Linked DNA regions of Struthio camelus. The protein of the gene in region 2 purifies or fractionates together with the protein of the main gene of each other region. This does not show direct contact. Links are inferred from orthologs where the notes say so. Each region holds a gene or a part of one and is shown on either strand. Other genes may lie near its edges. The genes, in order: RPA1, TIPIN and TIMELESS.

What was found.
Region 1: the proteins of TIPIN (region 2) and RPA1 purify together in Homo sapiens (affinity purification with western blotting; 4 studies listed by BioGRID and IntAct, with this or other methods). This does not show direct contact. The link is inferred for Struthio camelus from reciprocal best matches to the Homo sapiens genes TIPIN and RPA1.
Region 3: the proteins of TIPIN (region 2) and TIMELESS purify together in Homo sapiens (affinity purification with western blotting; 6 studies listed by BioGRID and IntAct, counting the BioPlex papers as one, with this or other methods). This does not show direct contact. The link is inferred for Struthio camelus from reciprocal best matches to the Homo sapiens genes TIPIN and TIMELESS.

What each region holds. Positions count from the first base shown.
Region 1 is NC_090957.1:16,142,403-16,149,984, reverse strand, and holds the start of RPA1 (replication protein A 70 kDa DNA-binding subunit), read right to left. Parts: upstream 3,001-7,582; 5' UTR 2,894-3,000; coding exon 2,861-2,893; intron 2,568-2,860; coding exon 2,520-2,567; intron 2,245-2,519; coding exon 2,166-2,244; intron 1,609-2,165; coding exon 1,500-1,608; intron 694-1,499; coding exon 605-693; intron 1-604. Other genes in the region: SMYD4 (SET and MYND domain-containing protein 4), read left to right, coding at 3,129-3,259, 3,301-3,502, 3,903-3,992, 4,468-5,635, 5,960-6,142, 6,456-6,622, 7,354-7,486. UniProt on the Homo sapiens protein: As part of the heterotrimeric replication protein A complex (RPA/RP-A), binds and stabilizes single-stranded DNA intermediates that form during DNA replication or upon DNA stress.
Region 2 is NC_090953.1:3,201,495-3,209,266, reverse strand, and holds the start of TIPIN (TIMELESS-interacting protein), read right to left. Parts: upstream 3,007-7,772; 5' UTR 2,798-3,006; exon of another isoform or gene 2,578-2,797; intron 2,175-2,577; 5' UTR 2,152-2,174; coding exon 2,019-2,151; intron 1,432-2,018; exon of another isoform or gene 1,339-1,431; coding exon of another isoform or gene 1,296-1,338; intron 806-1,295; coding exon 712-805; intron 1-711.
Region 3 is NC_090969.1:434,438-441,911, forward strand, and holds the start of TIMELESS (protein timeless homolog), read left to right. Parts: upstream 1-4,420; coding exon 4,421-4,533; intron 4,534-4,662; coding exon 4,663-4,811; intron 4,812-4,892; coding exon 4,893-5,046; intron 5,047-5,166; coding exon 5,167-5,281; intron 5,282-5,371; coding exon 5,372-5,434; intron 5,435-5,546; coding exon 5,547-5,648; intron 5,649-5,841; coding exon 5,842-5,997; intron 5,998-6,111; coding exon 6,112-6,245; intron 6,246-6,324; coding exon 6,325-6,412; intron 6,413-6,490; coding exon 6,491-6,667; intron 6,668-6,775; coding exon 6,776-6,993; intron 6,994-7,114; coding exon 7,115-7,218; intron 7,219-7,299; coding exon 7,300-7,469; intron 7,470-7,474. Other genes in the region: MIP (lens fiber major intrinsic protein), read left to right, coding at 449-568, 1,115-1,279, 1,727-1,807, 2,776-2,979. UniProt on the Homo sapiens protein: Plays an important role in the control of DNA replication, maintenance of replication fork stability, maintenance of genome stability throughout normal DNA replication, DNA repair and in the regulation of the circadian clock.

The DNA.
Region 1 (7,582 bases), on a different chromosome or scaffold from region 2:
AATTTTTGGCACCCACATCATGTAGCATCGAGTTCCATAATTTAACTATGCAGTGTTTGGGGGTGTGGTACAGCCTTTGTTTTAAAACCACAGTCTGATAATGTAAGAACTAAAGAGCATCAAATGAACACAGAAGAGAGGGAGAGAGTCATCATTCTTTACTCATCCCCTCCAATGCTATCTTACAGTTTCATAGATCGTTATTACATCCTCCTCCTGTTGTTTTCTTTCCAGACCAAAAATCTTAGTCTCTTGGGTTACTCATTATGAAAAGATACAGAACAGCTTCTGCACACTTACTGGAAGTCTAGATGCAGACCACTAATGTATGATAAAAAGCTCTCAATGTTATCACAAACTATAGATACTTCCCAATACCACATACTGAAACTTCAGCCACGGTGAAGAATTTACAAGAATACAAACAAAGTTTATTTTGCGTTACACAGATAAAAAGGACGTTCAAGATCTGGACATCACTGTTGCAGGCATAAGGAAGCGGAACGCATCTGCCTGCACGTTGTTAAATACAACGAAACAGGCAGCTGAAAGACCATCCTAACAGTCTCTTCAGACAAGGTATTTTTCTACAGTAGTTACTTACCTTCATTGTATGGCACCGGATTGCCAATATTCCCACCAACCATATCAGCAGTTTTCAGAACATCTAAATCCATCAGAATAACTACTCTCCTACAAACACAGAGCAGACAGCGATAAAGATTTTCACTCCCTCTGTAAGTCCAACAGACTTTGAACATCCTTTGCATGCAGATAAGAGAAACAACCAGTAGGGGCAGATTTTTGGACAAGAGATCTGGAAAGAAGAGCTCTCCACTGTCAGCTTAACCCACTCACAAGGTACAGGTAGGCTTAAAACAATATTACGTTTCATCAGAGACAGAAGATGACAGGCTGAATGGGCATACAGAAATGGCTTGAAAGAACAGAGTCAGATCTTACGAGAGAGGATACATCCCCTGACTCAAGGGAACGTTATATTGCCTCTACAGAAACATTGAGTAAAAAAGATGCAGCACATCAGTTCCCATTCTCTAACACACTTGCACAGTTTTTAGATTGTCACTTTACCTAAATCACTTGTTAGTTTACAGCATCCTACCTTTCTCTTCTCTCAAAGCTTCATAAAAGAAAGATCAACGACTTTAAGTAACAGGAAAACTTCATCATTTCTTTTCTACAAGAGGTGATTTTAAGTAAATTTTATTTTAGGTTTATTAAAATAACCTCAGTACAATTCTGTGTATTGCAACTGGTTGCCTTCAATTACTTAAACTACTGTATTAGATACATCCGCACCCACTGCCATTACATTCAGTAATTTTTACTTCTGCTATTGCTTGTCTTCTGTATTTTCCTTCCTGTACACTCAAGACCAATTATTTACAGATAATCCCAACTAAAAGCACTTGGCCTCTGCTTAGTCACACAGGATAGAGCACCCACTAGCATTACTGTATCTAAAACAACATGAATACCTTCCATCTTTCAGGCTGTTGACAATGAATCTGTTAATCTGGCAGATACAGTGAGCTGCTAAGCGCTCCTCTTCCACAAGAGAATTCAGCTGTGTTGCTAACATGAACGCTGCAAAAAGTAGAAGAAAAATATTGAAACAACTACCATATGCTGGCCTTAAGAGAGGCTACCATGGTTGGCCACAACTTTTCCAGTCAGTCGACTGGCGTTAATTTAGATCTACAGCTTGCCCTGTTAATTACAGCACAGGAAACAGCGTAACAGCCAACAATTCACCAGCAGTCTGAACGTAAAATAAGGATTTGATCCCTCAACTTAGGAGATTCGATCAGGCAATGATAGTTAGAATGCATTAAAGAAATAAGAAAATGATTAAGCTAAACTACTTCAAAGACACTGTTATGAAAACATCCGCTATAGATTTGTCCTCATGATACCCTGCAGTGAGTTAATTGCCTACAGTTCACAAAAAAATTCCAGAAAAAAAGGATTTTGTCTGAGTATTGAAATGCAGTGGCACAATTCAGAATACAAACGGTCCCTACGTGTCACTTGCTCCTTCAATACTCATTTCATCACTACAAACCTAGATGTTAGACCAGAAACTATGGCAACATTAGCATCTCCACACTTGTAAAAATCTCACTACGGCTTGTCATACTTACAGGAGAGCGTGTTAACACCATCACTCATCAGCACTCGGTAACGCGGTGGCCCATTTCCTGTCGCAATAGCCCGCGTGTTCTGAAGGGAAACACCAGACTGTTAGTCCTCACTGGTTCATTCAGAAACGCTTCAGAAGCAAAGTCACATCTTTAGTGAATGACTCAGTCTATTTAGCTTTCTTCTTGAGCACTGATTCCCAACAGCACAGCTCAAATCACACAAAACCTACTTTACTCAATCACGTTAAGGCTCCTATGCTGAGCAACTTCAGCTGCAGTCTGGCCCTGCTCACAACCCTACAAGGAAGCGCAGGCAGTCACTACTGACAGGACGAAGTAAGGAAGAGTACTCACTATGACTTGCAGCACGGGCTTGGAGATGTTCTCCCCCTGCATTATGGCCTAGAGAGGAGGAAAAAAAGAGACCCTCAGAGAGATGCCACCTCTTCGCTCAGGAGACCCACAGCAGAGGGGGAACCGCTGGGAAACAGCAAAAGTAACGCGCAAGGCCAGCACCGCTGAGCCCGGCCAGGGCCCTCCCCTCAGGACCGGCCCGGCGCGGGGCACCAGGCCCGGCCTCCGCCCCCCACCGCCGCCGCCTCAGGGCCGAGTCCGGCTCTAGGCCTGGCTCCCCTCCGACCAGACCTAGCCCAATGTCCCCCCCACCCCGAGCTGGCCGCGCAGCGACGCCTCACCGCGATGGCGCCCTCGCTCAGTCGCGCGCTCATGGTGCTGCGCCTTGCGCCGCGCTCCGCCGCCGCCACCAAATCCTCCCGCCGCCCCGAGCCTGGCCCCGCTCCTTCCGGCGCGCTCTCCTTCCGTCACCGCGGCGCGCGGGCTCCTCCCCTCCTCCGCGCAGCGGCAGCCGGAGCGCCCCTATTGGCTGGGCGGCGCCGTACGGCGGAAGCGCTCGCAGCGTGCGGCCGCTCCGGTGCCGCTGGGCGCCGCCATCGGAGCGAGCTGATGGCGCTGCCGGCTGAGGAGTGGCGGGCGTTCGCCGCCCGGCGCTGGGCCGCGCTGCAGCCGGCGCTGCGGGAGCGGCTGGCGGCGGCGCCGCTGCGCGACGCGGTGCGGCTGGGCTGCGGCCTGCTCGGGTGAGCGGCGGGGGCGGCGGGGGGCGGCGAGGCGAGGCGAGGCGAGGCGAGGCGCTGACCGCCGTGTCCCGCAGGCCCGAGGCGGAGGAGGAGGAGGAGGAGGAGGCGGCGGCGGCCCTGCGGCGGCTGTGCCGGCGGGCGCGCGCGGGCAAGGAGCCGGCGGCCGCGCGCTGCTACCGGGAGGAGGGCAACCGGCGCTTCGGGCGCCGCCAGTACGTCGCCGCCGCCCGCCTCTACTCGCAGGTAGGCGGCCGGCGGGAGGCTCCGGGGCCGGACCTCGCCGGTGGGGGGGGGGGGGGGCCGGGTCGTCCCGGCTGAGGGGGGCCTCGGTGGGGGAGGGGGACTTTGAGGGGGCCCTCAGTGCGGGGGGGGGGCGGGTCTTTGCTCTGTGAGGCCCCCAAGGAGGGGCTTCGTTGTGGGGGGCCCCCTGGTTGAGGGGATCCTGGTGAGGGGGGGACTAGGGTTGTCCATCCCATCTCCCCCCCCCCCCCCGGTAAGGGGGGATCACAGCCGGCCCTGGTTGAGGGGGGTCCCGGTAAGGGAGGCCTCAAGTCAGCCCCTGGCACGGGGCCTCCGGCGAGGGGGTCCCCGGTGCGGGCGCCCTGCCGGCCCCGGTGAGGCAGCGTCTGCCTGGTCTCCGCAGGCAGCGTCGCACGAGCGTCCCGGCAGCCCCGAGGTATCCCTGTGCTTCGCCAACCGCTCCGCGGCCCTCTTCCACCTCGGACGCTTTGAGGTAAGCGGCGGCGGGCGAGCAGAGGTGCTCCTGGGTGCCTGGAGCAAGTCTGTGCTCCCAGCGTGTGACCTGGGGCCTTCTGCCTAGCTGGAGGGGGGACATAGGCCAAAGGAGATCCCAAGCGGCGCCTAGGAGCGTTACTATGTCACGTTTGCACGTCGGGCTTGAGGTGAGTGCTTCTAGGAACCCCCCAATAAAGGCTGTTTGGATATTAGCACAACAGAGTATACATCAGATGTGTTTTTGAAGCGTGCCTAAAACTTCCGTCGTTATGGAACTGTTTCTGAAGAATTCCTGCTTTCTCTCTCTTCGGTCTGCATTGTGAATCTTTATTTGGCCAACAGATTGGCTATGGAGAGGGAATCTGCTGATCGGTATTATCTTGAGTAAAATGTGTTGAATCTTTGATGTGATAAAGAGCACAAGTCTCAACTGCTTTTCAGGTACGTTTAAAAGGCCTCATCTTTGTTTCTAGGCTTGTTTGGAAGATATTGCGAGGGCTCAAGGTCATGGCTATCCAGATAGGCTGCTGCCCAAGGTCTTGGTGCGGAAAGCTGAATGTCTGCTGTGTTTGGGGAGGTTACAGGATGCAGCAGAGGCCCTCAATGCAGCGGAGAATAAAGTTGCTGTGGATCAGACTATGACTAGTGCTACACACCAGGCACTGCTAAAAAAGATAAGTCAACTGAAGATTAAAGTACATGAGAAAGAGAGCTGTCCAGAGCCTGCGCCAGAAGCACACGGTGCCATTCAAAGAGAGTCAGAGATCTGGGAAGAGAATGACAGCATTTCAGGTGCATCTTCATCTTTGAGCTTGAATTTTGATATAGAGAGAGGACGTCATTTGGTGGCCTCTCAGGACATTTTGCCAGGACAGAATCTGCTGAAAGAGAAGGCCTTTGTGAGTGTTCTCTGCCCAGGGGAGAGTCTTCTGTTGCCTGACAGTAGTGAAACAGTGTGGGACACTCGGGTCACTAATGCAGATCTTTATTGTCACCGTTGTCTGAAGCAGCTCTTAGCCTCTGTGCCCTGCAGTGGATGCAGTTATGCAAAGTACTGCAGCCAAAACTGTGCAGATCTGGCCTGGGAACAGTACCACAGGACAGAATGCTCCTTGGGAGCGCTGCTTCTCACATTAGGGGTCTTCTGCCACGTTGCCTTAAGGACTGTTCTGCTGGCAGGATTTGCAGAGGTTAGTAGGCTGGTGGAGCAGTCCCACGATGATGACAAGGACCTTCATAGCCCTGAGGCAAGATGTAAACATATCAATGAGGTACCAAATACCAGAGGTGGTATCCCTGGGAAGGCAGAGCCTCTGATTCCTGGCTGTAATGACAACGGTCAGTACCAGAGTTCTTACCAAGCTGTGTTCAACCTCTTGCCACATACTGAGAAGCATAGCCCTGAACATAAGTTCCTTTGCGTGCTGAGCATAGTAGCTATATGCAAAAAACTACAAGAAGCTGGTCTAGAGGCTGCTGTCTTGAATCGGGAATCGTCTGAGGAGTGGTCCAAGCCAAAAGAATGTGAAAATGGGTCTGATGAACTGTCTCCAGAGTTGAAGATTATGGCAGAAGCAATGCTGAGGCATGTGTTGCAGCTGCAATGTAACGCGCAAGCGATCACTGTAATGCAAGAGTTGGGTAAGATAAACACTTTAAGCCCTTTCCTCTTAACCTTGCTCATCTAGTTTGTGTGAAGTGGAGAAACTGAACTAGCAGTTGTAAAAAGCTCCCATTGCAGATGGGAATGACTACTTGTTTTTTGTAAAATTTGATGGCTTGCTCCTGCCTGCCTGTCCTTATCTTTGGTGTACGTTTAGATGGTATTCAGCTACTTTTCATTACAGCAATATGCCAGGAACTTTCCTACTGATGTCTGTGATTGGATCCAGTGCCCATTGCATTAAGTTTGGTGGGTCACTAAGACTTCCTTCCCAACATATTTGTTTTTCCCTCTGTTTTTAGGGTCCGGAGATGGTGCTGTTGTAAATAAGAAGCCTGTGCGCCTGGCGACTGCCTTCTTTCCTGTCCTCAGCCTTCTGAACCATTCATGCAGTCCCAATATCAGCATATCATTTAGTGGGACAGCTGCCACTGTCAGGGCATCGCAGGCAATCCCAAGAGGCCAAGAGATTTTTCATTGCTATGGTGAGTTTTAACTCTGTATTTATCTCAAGATCCAGGCATCCTTTCACTTCTACTTGGCATGCAGACTGATTGCTAATAGGATAGTAATTTGAAGTGTAATGTTGCTAGAGCTTATGCATACGTGTAAGTCTTGATCAAAGGTATCAGAACAAGTCCTTATCTCCAGATGCCCACTGTTCTGCTTTCACAGTCTCCAGTTTCATCCTCTTCAAAAGATGGTATATTTAGTCTGAGTCAAAACGAGGATAGATTTCAGGCTTTTGTTAGGGACTGTACCTGTTTAGCGCTTTCTGTCCTTGTCCTCCCTTTGCAGGGCCTCATCGATGTAGAATGAGGGTTGCTGAGAGACAACAGCTTCTTAGGCAGTATTTCTTCGAGTGTCGCTGTCAGGCGTGCCTTGAAGAGATAGAGTCTGATGTCAAGAGTGTGGTGTCCATGAGAAACTCATTCTGCTGCCCTAGCTGCCGGGCTTCAATGCAGGTAATTATTCCATAATTATAACTATATAACCATATCAGGGTGAGTAACGTTTGGGTCTCTGGGAAAGTCACAGTTAAAGATCTGAGTCTGTGACCTCTGCTCTGAAGGCAAAAGACCCTGCAGGAGCAAGGCAGTGTCTCATTGCTCTCTAGCAGCTTCCTTGGAATGTTCTTGTATGTCAATCTTCCACTGTTACAGGGAAAATACTGCCTTTAACAAGGAGTTAAAATTCCTTTGAACTTGCTGAAAGAAACCCTGAGTATCAGGGCCATGGATTGGGGTAGTGGGGGTGTTTAAGAAACAGAAACGGAGACCCAGAGTCTAGAAAACAGGATGTACCTACAGGAGGCCATACGTAGTGGGAGCTGCATTATCTGCAGTTCACAGGATGTAAACAAAACCAGCATCTAGCCATGAGTTAAATGAGGAAAGTCATTTTTTTGAAGAAAGAGAACAAAAGTGTGTGTTTTATATGAACAGTTTGTTGTGTACCTCATGACCCTTTTTCAGCTTAATCTTAAGTGGGCTCAGACTAGCACGTGTTTTCATAGCTGTTCCCGTTTCTCCTAAAATCTGAACAATCTAATAGCACTTTATGAGCTACTCCCTTTATTTAACAAATGTAGCTGAGGAACTATGTAGCAGCTCTGTGACACGATACAGACGTGGAGATGGAAAATAAGCTTTGAGTTGAACTTGAGCAGGAATGATGGCGTGGATGACTTCCACAGGGAGAAGACATACTTTGTTGTTCAAATGGAGCTTGTGCACTCTCAGTCAGCAGAGAGAGCCTGTCACAGCGGCTATGGGACCTTCAGCAACGAATCAAGAAAGCATTAAAACTGCTAAGCGACAACAAGGGTGGTAAGACTTAGTTTTCTGCTTTAAGGTGGGCAGCTAATGAGGACACATTGGGAGACCTGGTCCCAGCCATGAGATGGCACTGTTGTCCATGAAATT
Region 2 (7,772 bases):
ACAAACACAGAACAGAAAAACCAACACACACGCACAGAGACCCACACAATAGGATAAAGACTGCAATAAAGAGGGAGACCTTTTTGGAAAGTCACCGTACAAATAGTCCCTGTCCAAGCAACTTTTTGATTTTAATTACACAGAACAAAACAGAAAGGCCAGTCCACAGAAGCTCAGATTCTTTCCATTTTTTATATAGACCATACCCCCAGTGTTTTTTTAGTGGAAAGAGCAAGGGAAATACTGAAATCCTTAACTTTTTCACACAGAGTTTACCCAGTTTGTACAGAAGTCACATATAAATGTACTTTATATAGTACTTTAGATTCTTACACTGAGGCTTTATTCTGAAGTGCACTTCAATTAAATAATAAGAAAACCACAGTCATAGGTCTGAGCCAAAATAAAGATGATACAGCTGAAGGATGAGAGTCCTATGTATGAAAAATAAATATCTACAAACAAGTTATTAGGCATGTGCTAAGCCCCAAGTAACCATCAAGAAAGTTTGACTAATAATAGTATTATATAGGCAAGCAAGGAATAAAAAGGTTGAAATGCAGCATGCAACAACAGGAACTTTCATCTCCAAAAATCTTGATCTTTAGCTTGGGGTAGATAAGCACTTTAATCATTCCCCGACAGCCATGTACGAAATACATCACAGAAAGAAATAATCTGTAAAAAACAAAAAAACAACAAAAAAATCACCTTTGGGCATCTAGTTTAGGTATTGGTCTTTTAACTGCTTTCCGTGTAGTCGCAGAAGAATCCTTCGTTTGTGACTGCTGGTTACCATCTGTTTCTAACAAAAGAAATATACTGTCAGTATGTAATGCAAATTACATCAACTAGCGTTACACAACATACATTTTTAAGTTTCTACCCTATCTCAAAGGCACTGGGCACAAATAGTCAAAGAATCAACTTTTCTAGCAAAGAAGGACACTTTCTTTTCAAAGACCCTCGCTTTACAACTTGTATATTTCTGATCAGAAATGTATTGAGAGTAGCTGCTGCCAGTTCTAAGAGTTAAAAACCTCAAGTGATAAGAGATGTTTCTCAAAATTTCCATGATAAATCTTAGAGGCCTGAAACTTCACTATCACCTTCAAAAATAGAGAAAGGGGTAACATATGAAAACAATGAGCTTGCATGTCTTAAGAACAAAATTTTATGTGTTTTCATTAAGGCTGTATGTATACTTTTGACTTTAACAGGTAAGACACAACTGCCCACCTCAGCTAACAACTAGCAATTAGTTAACATACTGATTTCTTCTTTTACATTTGTACCTTTGAACATCAGGAAGTCAGAAGTTTGAACTCTCCTTTTCATATATCGAGGAATTCAATCTATTCCAAACCATACTTTCTAGTAAACAGACATAGCAGGGAATCAAGGAAAACGCATACTTAACATTAGGTCTACTCATATTTGCCTATAAATAACACTGAAAAGAAATCTTTTGAGTCTTCTGTTAGCCAGTTCAGTATACTGGATGGCTGTAAGATCATCTCAAACATGAACAGCTTTAGTTTTAAGTTTCACTTGTCCTGAAGTGCCTTGGACTTTTCCTAAATCGCATGCTTTACCGAAACAAGTAACATCTCCCAAACTACTATATTTAGCACTCTTACCTTTTCTCCACTCAAGGTAAGTCATAGAGGGTAACTATAGATCACTGTAGTATAATTATCTTTACTGATATTTTGGCAGAAAAGCTTGAATTTTTAAAAGATCCATTTGTACTGCAGATGTTTTGATGGACTCTACAAAAACAAACTTTTCCCACAAGCTTGGATGTGTAGAATCATGTATAATTTAAATTTATTAAGTGCTTTCTTACTTATGAGGCTATTTTTATGTAAGGCTGTATATAGAGAGAGCTATTTTTATATAAATAATATAGTCATAACATATAAGAAATTCAAGGTAGTGAATAATACAACCAAGAGTAAAATTGTTTTCATAGCCTGTATTGCAAAATTGGTTCTTTAAGGGTCACAGGTGTTCACCTCCATTAGCTAGAGCCCATTCAGCATCATCTTTTCCTGGAGAGGTAGGAGGTGGAAGAGGTGGAAATGTTTCATCTTCTGTATTCTCATAATCAGGAAGGTCAAACAAGTTGTTCTCTAAGGGATCTATCATTGCCACAAATTAACTGTTTTCTCCTGCAGGAAATAGCAAAAACATTTAAAAAGCAGCAGTGAGAAGCAGCAGCTAAGTATCAATTATACACAACACATCCATGGGTTCCTGAAAAATACTTGCCAGTTAAAAAAAAACAACAAACAAACATCACCATCCAAAAAGTTATGTAGCAGATACCATGTAAAAGGATGACACAATCCAGTCTCATGATGTCAGATAAGGTTTTGATAAGAGTTTGTCATGTCTCAACTCATCAGAGTTATTTGGGAGGGGCAGGAACGGGTCACAGGAATACAGTTAAAAAAAAAAAAGAGGAAAGAAAGTAACTAAAGCGCTTATTAAGACAGCTGTTTTCCTTCAAGTCCTTGAAAAATCAAAGATTCCTGGGGGGAGGGGTGATAATTCCTCCGATTTACAGCTTACCCACTCAGAAATGCAGTCCGGAGGGGGATCCCCCTTTGCCACTTGCTTTAGCACAGCTAATTCCAGAGACTCGCGCACAGCAGCCCACGGGGGCTCACCACGCACACACGTGGCTTCGCGAACAGCTCTCTTTTTTGAGAGAAAGTTGCCGTTTTAGGCACAGGGGAGCCCAAGCAGCTCCGCCGGCACTGGCCTCCGATGGAGAAAGCGAGCTCCCTACCTCTGAGCTGTGAAACCTTGACGGAGCCGGAGCCAGGGCGGCGAAGGCGCTCCTGAGGGGCCTCGAGGGCCGAGCGCCGCGCCCCGCGCCCCTCACGAGCAACTCCTGGCTCCGGCGGCAGAGCACTGGCGGGGAGCGGGGAGGGGCGGGGCCTCGCCGGGGGAGGCACCGCGAGAACCGCCCATCTCGCGAGCTCTCGGCTGAGGCGAGCGGCCGCTCGGTGCCAACGCGCCTGCGCGGCCCCGCACAGCGCTTTTGGCGCCAAAACCTGAGGAAGGGGGTGGGGGTGGGGGTGGGGGTGGGGGTGGGGCAGGGCTGCCGCGGCCCGTTCCCTCGCTTCTCCCCGGGTGCGGTGTGGTGGCGCTTGGCCAAATTAAAATGCCGGGGGGTGCCGGTCGCGTTTGAAGCATCTAAGGTTGCTAGGCCAACTCGGGAAAGAATGATGAATCAGCCCCTGAAATGGGATTTAAGATACCGCACGAGGAGCTCTGCTGACTTTCCTACCTCTGTGGGGAAAGACTTCCAGGGCAGGTTTTTCTCGGTCCAAATGTAGATTAGAGCCTTCTGGTAATTAAAAATAAAGAGCTTGCAGTTGTCCAGGCGTTAAGAAATACACCAAGCCCAATGAGATTTGGCAGCTACACACAGAAAATGCCATTTAGGGACTTTGCCGTCTGCAGAAACCGCAGGAGGGAGGGTCCATGCTGCGGCCTCCGGTGCTGTTGGCGATTTTGTCAGTCACAAATCCAGTTTTCAGCAGGTGATGTACTGATCTGTTGTATCTGAAAAATACTGTTTGCATATTTTACAGGTCGGTCGGTGTAAATGCATCTCACTTAGACGGCAGACCGTTTAAGCAAAATGAGTGGTGTCCGTTATTAACACAGAAGGAAAATGGTTTTCCCTTTTTTCTCTAGGAGTTTGATACATATAATATGTCTGAAAACTTAATTTATTCCTTCTGATATGACAAAGAAAATCACTTGCAGATACTTCTCAGTTAAAAAAATAAAGGGTATTATTCTTCAGTCAAAATGATTTTAACAGTATTTAAAATCTGTACTCCCAAATAGAGGAACATCTTTTATAGTTAGAAATACACATAGAAGAACAAGCATATTAATGAATTTGTTAGCAAACAACTTTTTAGATACGGCCAGTTTTTTCAATTTACTGAAGCTCAGAAAGTATGAAAAACGAACAGAAAGATACATTAATTGTTATAAATCATGTTGCCGATTTCCAGCTCAAAACAAAACACTAAAGACTTGTTTCTGTCGTATAAAATGACTAAAAATCAAATATTGAATACCATGGGAAGCTCTTTACACTGAAAATAATAGTCACTCTTTATATTAAAAGATACTCGTTGTAAACAAGGGAATCATAGGTTTTGGGTGTTGCCTGAATATCTAACCAATTTAGAATTGTTTTCCTTAATTGTTACTGCTTTTTTTTCTGTGTGGATTTTAAGTAGTTATGTCAACTGAATTTACCAGAGATACCAGGTTCTCTAATTTCCCTTAAGCTCCTGCATACTTTCTGAAAATTGACTGGGAGGTAGAAGAGAAATATGGTGGTAGGGTACTCAGCAGAGAGATGGTGGCCTTTTTCTGTTCTGTTTCACAGTCGCCAGCTGGCCAGTCTCCAGACACACAGGTCATCCAATCCGCAGAAGCAGATGTCTGATCTGTGGTAGGTGTTTTGTCCTAGCCAGGACAGACAGATAATGGAACTGGAAAAAGTGCTTGAAAGGCATGTTTTTTCAATAAACAAAATTTCTATGGCAATGTTTCCGTTCACTGCTGTTTTTACGAACAGAAAGAAAAAGTACTATACAAGGATTAAAGCAGAAGATTATTTACAATCTCTGTGGAGGAGTACTGTCTTATAAAACCTACCATATTTATGCAACTTTGATTAATCAATATTTTTGAAGAGTGTTTAATTAAAGACTGGACTTGATGACCTGGGTGGTTCTTTCCAGTCCTATGTTCCTAATTAAATGAAAAACATATGCTAGCAGGCATTGATTATTGTTTTTTCTCAGGAAATGAATAACCAGCCACATGCTGATAAAATAATAAGTCAGGAAAAAAAGCCATAACTTGGCTGTATTCTAGAAAATACTTCTGGTTTCTAGCTTAGAGGAAACAGATGTATTATTTATTTCTTTCTGTATTTAATAATGTTATTTTATGAGAAAAAATGCAGAAAATGAATACTTTGTCTCATTTCCTATTTTATCCTATACTTAACATAGGGCAGAGAAAATCTGTAAAATGGACAACTGGCTACTTTTGCATTTGGAGGGGTTTACCGCTACAGGAGTGCAACCTGTTTGGCAAAACCCTCTTAGTATTATACTGGTAATCCTGTGTATATAATAATATCATTCCCCATCCATAAACTCTATGCAAAGTAGGCTATATTGATACTAGTGTAGCTGTATCAGTGGGATATTTGTGATTTATACTTTGTCAATCTAATCCAAATTTTGTATTACACAGTCATCTTAAAAATTAATATATTTTTAACCTTTTAGTATACGGATATATTTAAGTTCTTGTTCTGATCCACAGTGGGTTTTTCAATCCCTATTTCTTGAGGAAAACAACGTACAAGACTGGTTTCTGCTTGATTGTCTGTCCATCTCTCTGTCAGCCCCCTTCTAATAACTTCATTCTGGTGGCCAGTTTTAATCAAGATTGTGTTAGGCTTCTTAAATTCCATTGCTTATGGGACTAATTGTTTCCCTGAATTGCTCTGTTAAGCACTAAATAGATTAAGAAGTAATAAATCTTGCAAATAAAATTTTGTGTGTGTATGTCTCGGCAGTAAAATATACAGCTTTATGTGGCAATCAGGTTTTAAAAACTGGGCTAATTTAGGACTGCAATTAAGGTATGCAGTAATCAAGTTCGTGAGGAAAGGAATAATTCATACTGAAATAAGTGTTTTATTCCTGACTGCTGACTGGTAGGTGAGGGGAACTTAACAGATATTTTAGCTACTTTATAGGTTCTGTATTTTTATATACTATATATCTGCTTCACAGATTCAGTATCAGCCTCCTGCAAGTTATCTCCCCTTATTATATGGATTATTGAGTCTCCAAATCTTTAGTATTCTTTTCTTTCTCATACAAGAAACTAGCCAAAATTCAGTTTTTTTAGGTTAGTCTCATGAGAGAAAAAAGTGGTAATGGAGACAAACTTCTTTGATGCAGTTCTATTTACAGGGACATATATTACAGTTCTGTTTTTTTTCAAGAAGTAGTTGAATCAATAAATCAGAAAGTCTCCCTGCTTGGAAGTCTTTCTTACGGATTACACTGCCTCGCTTATATTTTTTTGTTCATCTTCTCCTGCGTGAGCCATATTCAGAGACACCTGTCTGTAAGAAAAACCCACATCCCACCGGCTTTACAATTGCTTTGTTTTAGGTGAGGAAATGTGCTTTATTTTCAGTTGCAAATATACTGAAGTTAAATCTGTTTGTTTTAGAGAAGTTCCAACCAACCTACAACATTCTTGAAACATTTCAAATATACTGTATAATCACGCAAAATAAAATAGATCATTTAGGAAATAATAGTATGCCTATACTGATCAGTAAGATCGTCCGTTCTTACTAACAAACAAAAAAAATCCCCAAAGCGTCTTAGGTCTCATTGAACAAAGCCTAGAGGCCATCCAGCCCTTTTTTTAAGGCTTGGTCCCCCTAAAAGTTCCAAGAGTACGATAGCGCCTGAGGAACTAGGTGATGGCAGCAGCAATTATATTGAAATGGTTCTTGAGGTGGCATCAGTCTGTACACATATGATTATATTTCTGTATTCAGACAATCAAAATACCTTTGTCTTGCAGTAGGTTAAATGGACTCTAAAACAGGTAAGTGAATTCAGACCGCAGTGTTGTTTGCAGTGCAAGTATAAAGTACACCGCAGGAGGGAGCTATCTCTTAACGTTACCTGGCATTTAATAGACGGGGGAGTGTGTGTATGAAGGGCAGAGCTGTGAAAATAAAATAATTTAGTCTTTTTTACTTTAGAAATGGGTGAGATGCTAGGAATAATAGAGCATTTTGCACAATATATAGGGCATTTTTCCCATAATAAATTTCAATTTCCATAAAAGCATTAATGACTGCTTTGACCAAAAGTATAATCATTATTTTACATTTGCAAATCACAGAAAATTGAAACAGAATTCATAGTAGTTCTTCATACAAATTACTTAAAAAATAAGTTATGTGATGGAATTTACTCTGCACTTTTACTGTCAGCTGAAATAATGTATGTGATACACACACATTTCTTGCTGTATTTCAAAAAAGTCTGCATACTGAAACCTCTGTTGTCGGTAAACATGTCCAGACATTCACCTGTTTATGTAGGCTTTTTAGTATATAGTCTAACCTGATAGGAAAAAAAAAAAACAATGTTAGAAGGAGAAAAATGATTCAAAGCTTATGGGGAAAAATTACAGCTCATAACTAAAATTCTTGTTTGTTCAACCCGGACCTTTAAAAGAAAATAATATCTTCCTTGCAATAATCTGCTCCGAGAAAGAGGACATACTTTACAACCTATTAGAATAACTAGAGTTGCATAACTCATGTGAACAACTGCAATATAGTGCAACTACAATTATACAAGGCATTTGTCATAATTGTACATTCTCTGAGACTCGCATATTCTCTGCAAAGGAGTTCAGTGTGTCAGACAAAGGAGTCCATGCATTTCTCCACACGCAGTTGGGTAAAGGGGAAAACAACCTCAGCTGCAACTCAATTTCTTCTGTAGTAAAAACATTTTTTTCCCTTTTTTTTATCACAGAGAGACTTGATACTTAGACTTCACAAGCTACTGTAAATAACTGCAGGCATCCTTGCATGTGTTGCTATCACAAACACTGTTGCAGCATTACAGTTCTTTCAGCTGAGCAGTCAACTGTCATAGAACAGATTCAGT
Region 3 (7,474 bases), on a different chromosome or scaffold from region 2:
CCACACAGCCTCGCCGGTGCGGCCTGGGCAGCGAAGCGGTTAACGGGCGGTGGGGGGGTGGCGGCGGCGGGATCCCACCCCCGGGGCCGAGCTGGGGTGGGGGGGGGGTTATAAGGGCGGCCGCGGGGGTGGGCTCCCCCGCAGAGGGGGCGGCGAGGCGGGCCAGGGCCGGGGCAGGGGCAGGGGCAGGGGCGCAGGGGGCCAGGCCATGCGGGAAGTGCGCTCGGCCTCCTTTTGGAGGGCCGTGGCGGCCGAGTTCCTCGGCAGCCTCCTCTACGTGCTGCTGGGGCTGGGGGCCTCGCTGCGCTGGGCCCCGGGCCCCCCCGGCGCCCTGGCGGCCGCCCTGGCCTTCGGGCTGGCCCAGGCCACGCTGGTGCAGGCCCTGGGCCACGTGAGCGGCGGCCACCTCAACCCGGCCGTCACCGTGGCCTTCCTGCTGGGCGCGCAGCTCTCGCTGCCCCGCGGCCTGGGCTACCTGCTGGCGCAGCTGCTGGGCGGCCTGGCCGGGGCCGGGCTGCTCTACGGGCTGACGCCGGCCGCCGCGCGCGGCACCCTGGGCCTCAGTGCGGTGAGCGGCGCCCGGGCGGGACGGGGCGGCGCGGGGGGGTGGGGGTGGCTTGGGGGAAGGGGGTTACTGGGGGGGTGGGGGTCGGGAGGGGCTGGGGGTGATGTGGGGCTGGGGGTGATGGGGGGGGTGGTGAGGGGTCTGGAGGGGTTTGGGGTACCGGGGGGCTGAGGGTGATGTGGGGGTTTGGTGGGGATCTGGAGGGGTTGAGGGTGATGTGGGGCTGGGGGTGATTTGGGGGGTAGTTGGGGGTCTGGAGGGGTTTGGGGTGCCAGGGGGCTGAGGGTGATGTGGGGGTTTATTGGGGGATGAGGAGGGGCTGGAGGTGCCTTGGGGCTGGGGGTGATGGGGGGGGTTGTTGGGGGACCAGGAGGGGTTGGGGGTAAATGGGGATGATGGCTGGGGGTGCTGTGGGTTGGGGGTGCCGGGGCGGACGGCGGTCTGGCTCTTTGGGGCGCTCGCTGCCGGCGGGACGGGGGGAGGTCTCGCCCCCCCCCCGCCCGGACGCCGGGGCTCCCCGCGGGGGCTGACGCCCCTCGGCCCCCGCAGCTGCACCCCAGCGTGGGCCTGGCCCAGGGCACGGCGGTGGAGCTCATCCTCACCATGCAGTTCGTGCTCTGCGTCTTCGCCAGCTACGACGACCGCCGCGACGGCCGCCTGGGCTCCGCGGCGCTGGCCGTCGGCTTCTCCCTCACCCTGGGACACCTCTGCGGGGTAAGAGCGGGGGACCCCTGCGGCGGGCTGTTTGGGGACCCCCCCCCGTGGCAGGCTGTTTGGGGGCCCCCCCCCTTGTTGGTGGGCTGTTTGGGGACCCTCGTCGGCAGGCTGTTTGGGGACCCCCGTGGCAGACCATTTGGGGACCCCCCCCCCCTCAGCCGGCCATTTGGGCGCCCCTCCCCCCCCCCGTGGCAGGCTGTTTGGGGACCACCATCAGCAGGACGTTTGGGGACCCACCCCCCCCCGTGGCAGGCCGTTTGGGGACCCTCATCAGCAGGCTGTTTGGGAACCCCTGTGGCAGACCATTTGGGGGCCCTCATCAGCGAGCCGTTTGGGGACCCCCCGCCGTGGCAGGCCATTGGCATGCCTGCTGGCCTCGTTTGCGCCCCCCCGGCCGGGCGGGGAGGGCAGCGGCAGCCCCCCCACCCCACGTGCCTCCTGCAGATGTACTACACGGGAGCCAGCATGAACCCCGCGCGCTCCTTCGCCCCCGCTGTCATCACCCGCAACTTCACCAACCACTGGGTAAGTGGGGCCGGGGTGGGGGCCTGGGGCACCCCACGTCCCTGCCCTAGTCCTGCCCCAGCCGCGTCCCAGTCCAGCCCCAGCCCCAGCCACGTCCCACCCGGTCCAGCCGCTTCCATGTCCAGCCCCAGCCGCATCCCAGTCCAGCCGCATCCCAGTCCAGCCGCATCCCAGTCCAGCCGCATCCCGGTCCAGCCACATCCTGGTCCAGCCCCAGCCCCAGACACATCCCAGTCCAGCCCCAGCCGCATCCCAGTCCAGCTGCATCCCAGTCCAGCCGCATCCCGGTCCAGCCACATCCCGGTCCAGCCACATCCTGGTCCAGCCCCAGCCCCAGCCACATCCCACTCCAGCCCCAGCCGCATCCCGGTCCAGCCACATCCTGGTCCAGCCCCAGCCACATCCCACTCCAGCCGTATCCCACTCCAGCTGCATCCCAGTCCATCCACATCCCAGTCCAGCCACATCCCAGTCCAGCTCCAGCTGCATCCCAGTCCAGCCACATCCCGGTCCAGCCCCAGCCGCATCCCGATCCAGCCCCAGCCGCATCCCAGTCCAGCCCCAGCTGCATCCCGGTCCAGCCACATCCCGGTCCAGCCCCAGCTGCATCCCGGTCCAGCCCCATCCCAGTCCAGCCCCAGCTGCATCCCGGTCCAGCCACATCCCGGTCCAGCCCCAGCTGCATCCTGGTCCAGCCCCAGCCGCTCCCGGCCCTGCTGCCCCTCCATCCAAGGGGAACCAGCTGCTGCATCTGCCCCAGCGCCAGCAGTGCGGGCAGCCCCGTCCCGGAGCAGCCCCGTGCTCGGGGCTGTGCCAACGGGGTGCAAAGAGCCCCCTGAGCTCCCCCCCCCAACCTCTTGGAGGGGCTGGGTGGGACGCGGGTGCCCCACGGCTGCACCGGACCCCCCAGAGGGAGGGTGGGACGCGAGCGCCCCGTGGCTGTGGCAGACCCCCCCCTCTCCCCGCAGGTGTACTGGGTGGGCCCGCTCCTGGGCGGCGTGCTGGCCGGCCTGCTCTACGACTTCGTGCTGGCCCCGCGGCCCCGCGGCCTGGCCGAGCGCCTGGCCATCCTCAAGGGCGAGCCGGCGGCCGAGGCCGAGGCCGAGGTCGAGGCCGAGGCGCCGTGCGAAGCGCCGGCGGAGCCCCTCGAGCTGAAGACGCAGTGCTTGTAGGAGCGGGGGGCGCCCGCGCCGCCCCCTGGCCCCCGCCGCCCGCCCGGGGAGGCCGCGACCCGGGGGCGGCCTGTGCGCCAGGGCGGCCACCGCCGCCGCTTTTAGTTCTCCCGTTCTCCTTTCTCCGTGGACTTTCCTTTACTTTGCGGTGATGGGGGCCGCCCGGGGCCTCCGCTTGGTTGTATTTGGGGGATGGGGGCGGAAAGGACCCCCCCCGCCTCCGGCCGACCCCTGCCTGCGCGCGGCCCCCCGGCAGCGCCTCCCCCCACCCCGTGCCGCCCGGGCCCTGCGTGTGCGTGCGTGTGTGTGCGGTGCCGACACCGGCCGGGCCCTGCCGGCGGGGGGGGGGGGGGTCCCCGGTACCGGAGGGGGGAGGTCCCGGTGCCCGGGGCCGGCGTGGCCTGGCGGTTCGCGCTGAGGAACGGGCCGGGCCGGCTCCGTGCGGCGGGGATCGCGGGGGGTGGGGGGGGTCACCGCGGCCTGGGCCCCGCTGCCGGGCGCCCATCGCGGGAGGCCGCACGCGCAGCCGGTGCCGGTGCCCGTGCCGGCCCGGCCCGTCCTTCGCGCCGCCCCGCCCGGCGCTCCTGTGTTCAGTGAATTAAACCTGCTCTTTTATTTTGGTAACCGCTCTCGACCGTGGCCCGCGCCCCGCACCGGGCCGCACCGGGCCCGCGTCGCCCCGGCAACCGCGCGGGGGGTGACGGGAGTCGCCGGGGGGCGGGGCCGGGGTGGGGCGGGCCAGTCGCGCGCCGCCGGGGAAGCCCCGCCCCTTCCCGCCGCGGGGGGCCGGAGACACCGCCGGCGCCGGCTCCTCCGTTAAAAGGGCAACGCCGCGGCGCGGAGCCCTTCCGGCAGAGCGGCCCCGGCCAGGGGCGGCCGCACCGCCCTGTTGGGAGCAGCCGGGCCGGCCGCTGCGGGCGGCGCCCCACGGGGGAGGGCTGCGGGAGGGGGCCGGGCCTCTTGGGTTCCGCAGGGCTGCTAGGTAGGCAGGGGGCGAGCGGCCCCACCAGCGGCCGCTGAGGGAGGCGTTTCCCCTTTAAGCCCGCGGGCGGGCTCGGGCGCCATCGGGGCGGCGGGCGCGGGGCGCGCGGGCGGCGCGGCGCGGCGCGGGGTGGGGGCGGGGCAGGACGCCTGGGTCCCTCCCCGCCGCGGCCCCGTGAAAGTAGGTTGCGGGAAGTGGGGCGGTTGCGTAACGGCCGCCTGCCCCCGCCCCGCCGCCTTTTTAGGGCGGGCGGCGGCGACGGGCGGCGGTGAGTGCGGCGGTCCCGGTCCCGGTCCCGGTCCCGGTCCCGGTCCCGGTCCCGGTCCCGGTCCCGGTCCCGGTCCCGCCGCGCTGCTGTCGCCGGGCAGGAGACCCAGCGGTGCCCCGGTCTCCGGGGTGGGGGATCGGGACCGGCTGGTGCCCTGGGGACAGGGGAGGTGGGGTGAGGGTGACCGGGGGATGTCCCGGTACCGGGGGCCAGGGAGGACCGGTGCTGCCCTGGCCGGTACCGGCAGGGAGAGAGACCCAGTGGTGCCCTGGTACCAGTGGAGGGGGGACCCAGTGGCATCCCGGTACTGGGGGAAGGGGGACGTGGTGACACCTGGGGACCTGGGATCCGGGACCGGCCGGTGCCCCGGTACCGGGGGGTGGGAGGGCGCTGCCGCCCCTGCCCCCCGTGAGCCCCCATGTCTGCCCCAAAGGCGCTCCGGCCCCTCCGCGGCCCCCGGTCCCCTCTGCTGCCTGCCCGGATTTATGGACTTGTACATGATGAACTGCGAGCTGCTGGCCACCTGCAGCGCCCTGGGCTACCTCGAAGGGGACGTCTACCACAAGGAGCCCGACTGCCTGGGTACGTGGGCCGGGGCAAGCGGGGGCCTGGCGGGGCGCCGCTGAGGGGGTCTCACGGCCCCCGCGCTGCCCCTCTCCGCAGAGAGTGTGAAGGACCTCATCCGGTACTTGCGCCATGAGGACGAGACCCGGGACATCCGGCAGCAGCTGGGGGCGGCCCAGATCCTGCAGAACGACCTGCTGCCCATCCTGGTGCAGTACCCGCAGGACAAGGTGCTCTTCGACGCCGTGGTCAGGTACCGCCCGGGGGGTGCAGGGACGGGAGGGCGCCCGGCGCCGCTCCCCCGGCACGGCAGCCCGGCGGAGAGGGGCTCCCGGCGGAGCAGAGCTCCCACCGCGCCCTGCTCCCCTCCCAGGCTCATGGTGAACCTGACGCAGCCGGCTCTGCTCTGCTTCGGCAAAGTGCCCCAAGATGCCACCTCCCGCCACCACTTTCTGCAGGTCGTGTCCTACCTGCAGGCCTACAAAGAGGTGAGCCCCCGCCATGGGAACACGGGCTCCTGCCCAGCTCTGCGGGGCAGAGGGTCGCTGCCCCAGGCCCTAACGTTAGGTTTTCTCTAGGCTTTTGCTAGTGAGAAAGTTTTCGGGGTGCTCAGTGAGAAGCTCTATGACATGCTGCAACTGGTGAGTCCCATTTCTCCTAGCAGCTCCCCGAGTTTGGGTGCCTCATCCCTGCGGAGCAGGGCCTGGGTACTGGGGAGGAGCGGGGGAGCCCCTCACGCCCTGTCGCCCCCAGGACTGGGAGCAGCGGCAGGAGGAAGACACGCTGCTCATCGAGAGGATCTTGCTGCTGGTGCGCAATGTGCTGCATGTGCCCCCGGACCCCACGGAGGAGCAGGTACCAGGATGGAGGCTTTTCCTGTGTGCCTCGCCCCCGCTGCAGTCTGGAAAACTGGTCTGGGGGCAGCTCCCAGCCCCCTGCAGGGCTCCTGCCTTGTCCCTTCCCCACCTGGGGCTGTGATGGCCCCGTGACTTTCCTGGGGACCCTGGTGTTCTGCGTGCTGAGCCCCGCGTCTGCCCCCTCCTGCCAGGGCGTGGATGGTGACGCCAGCACCCATGACCGGGTGCTCTGGGCCCTGCACATCAGTGGCATGGACGACCTGCTCAAGTTCCTGGCCAGCTCGCAGACTGAGCAGCAGTGGGCCCTCCACGTCCTCGAGATCATCTCCCTCATGTTCCGCGACCAAGTGAGCCTGGGTGGGAGGTGACAGGACACAGGGGGGACTCGCTGCCTCCCTGCTCCCTCCGGAGCCCCCGGCACGGCGCAGCTGACAGCTTGGCTCCCCCCCCCCCCCCCACAGAACCCCGAGCAGCTGGCCGCGGTGGGGCAGGGCCGCTCAGCCGCTGAGCGCGGCGAGGACACGGAGGAGCTGGAGACCCTGCGGCAGCGGGAGCTGGCGGAGAGGAGGAGCCGAGCGCTGCAGCGCCCATCCAGGTGATCCATCGGGGGCCAGCAGGGGTGTGGGGCCCCGCTGCCGCGGGCTGGCTCCGCTCACCCTGCGTCCCCATCCCAGGCACTCCCGCTTTGGTGGCTCCTACATCATCCAGGGCCTGAAGGCAATTGGGGACCGGGACGTTGTTTTTCACAAGGGCCTGCACAATGTGAGTAATGGGGCCAGGACAGCAGTGGGGAGGCTGGGGCACCGGGACATGAGTCGGCATTGGTGTTTGCCCCCACAGCTGAAGAGCTACAGCCACGACCTGGGCAAGGAGGTGCGGAGGGTGCCCAAGCGCCGGCTGGCGGCCCGCGAGGCCGAGCCGCCCCGGCGCTCTGCCCGCAACGTCCGGCTCTTCCTGCGCGAGTTTTGCCAGGACTTTCTGGAGGGCTGCTACAACCACCTCATGTACCTGGTCAAGGTGAGGGGGCCGGGGCTCGGGGAGGGACGCGCAGCCCTGGAGTGCACAGCGTAACGGCCTGAGGCAGCGCAGTGGTCCTGGCGCTGACCCTGTCTCTGCCTCCTCCAGGACCAGCTGATTCGGGAGAAGGCTCAGCAGCACGATGAGACCTACTACCTATGGGCTACAGCCTTCTTTATGGCCTTCAATCGGAGCCTGCGGTTCCGGCCAGAGCTGGTGTCGGAGACGGTGGGAATCCGCGCCTTCCACTTCATTGAGCAGAACCTCACCTCCTACTACGAGATGGCACTGATGGACAAGAAGGAGGCTGCGACCTGGGCCCGCAGGTGGGCGTGTGCTGCTAGGGCGCCTGGTCCTGTCCCTGGCTGTGGAGCTGTTGGTCTGCGAGGGCAGTGGGTGTGATGCTGGGGGGCAGCGCTGTGCCCTGGCCTGACACTGTGTCCCCAGGATGCACCTGGCCCTGAAGGCCTACCAGGAGCTGCTGCGGACGGTGCAGGAGATGGACCGTTCGCCTGAGCAGGCCGTGCGGGATAGCAGCCAGATCATCAAGAGTGAGTCTGTCCGTCCCCCCTGCCATAGGCTCCATGCTCCATCCTGTTTTCCTAGTTCTTGGCCAATCCCTTCTCCTTCAGATAACATCTTCTACCTGATGGAGTACCGGGAGCTCTTCCTTGCCCTCTTCCGCAAGTTCGATGAGACGAAGCAGCCGCGCAGCTTCTTGCGGGACCTGGTGGAGACAGCCCATCTCTTCCTCCGCATGCTAGAGCGCTTCTGCCGGGGACGTGCGGGCCTTGTCGTGCAGGTGGG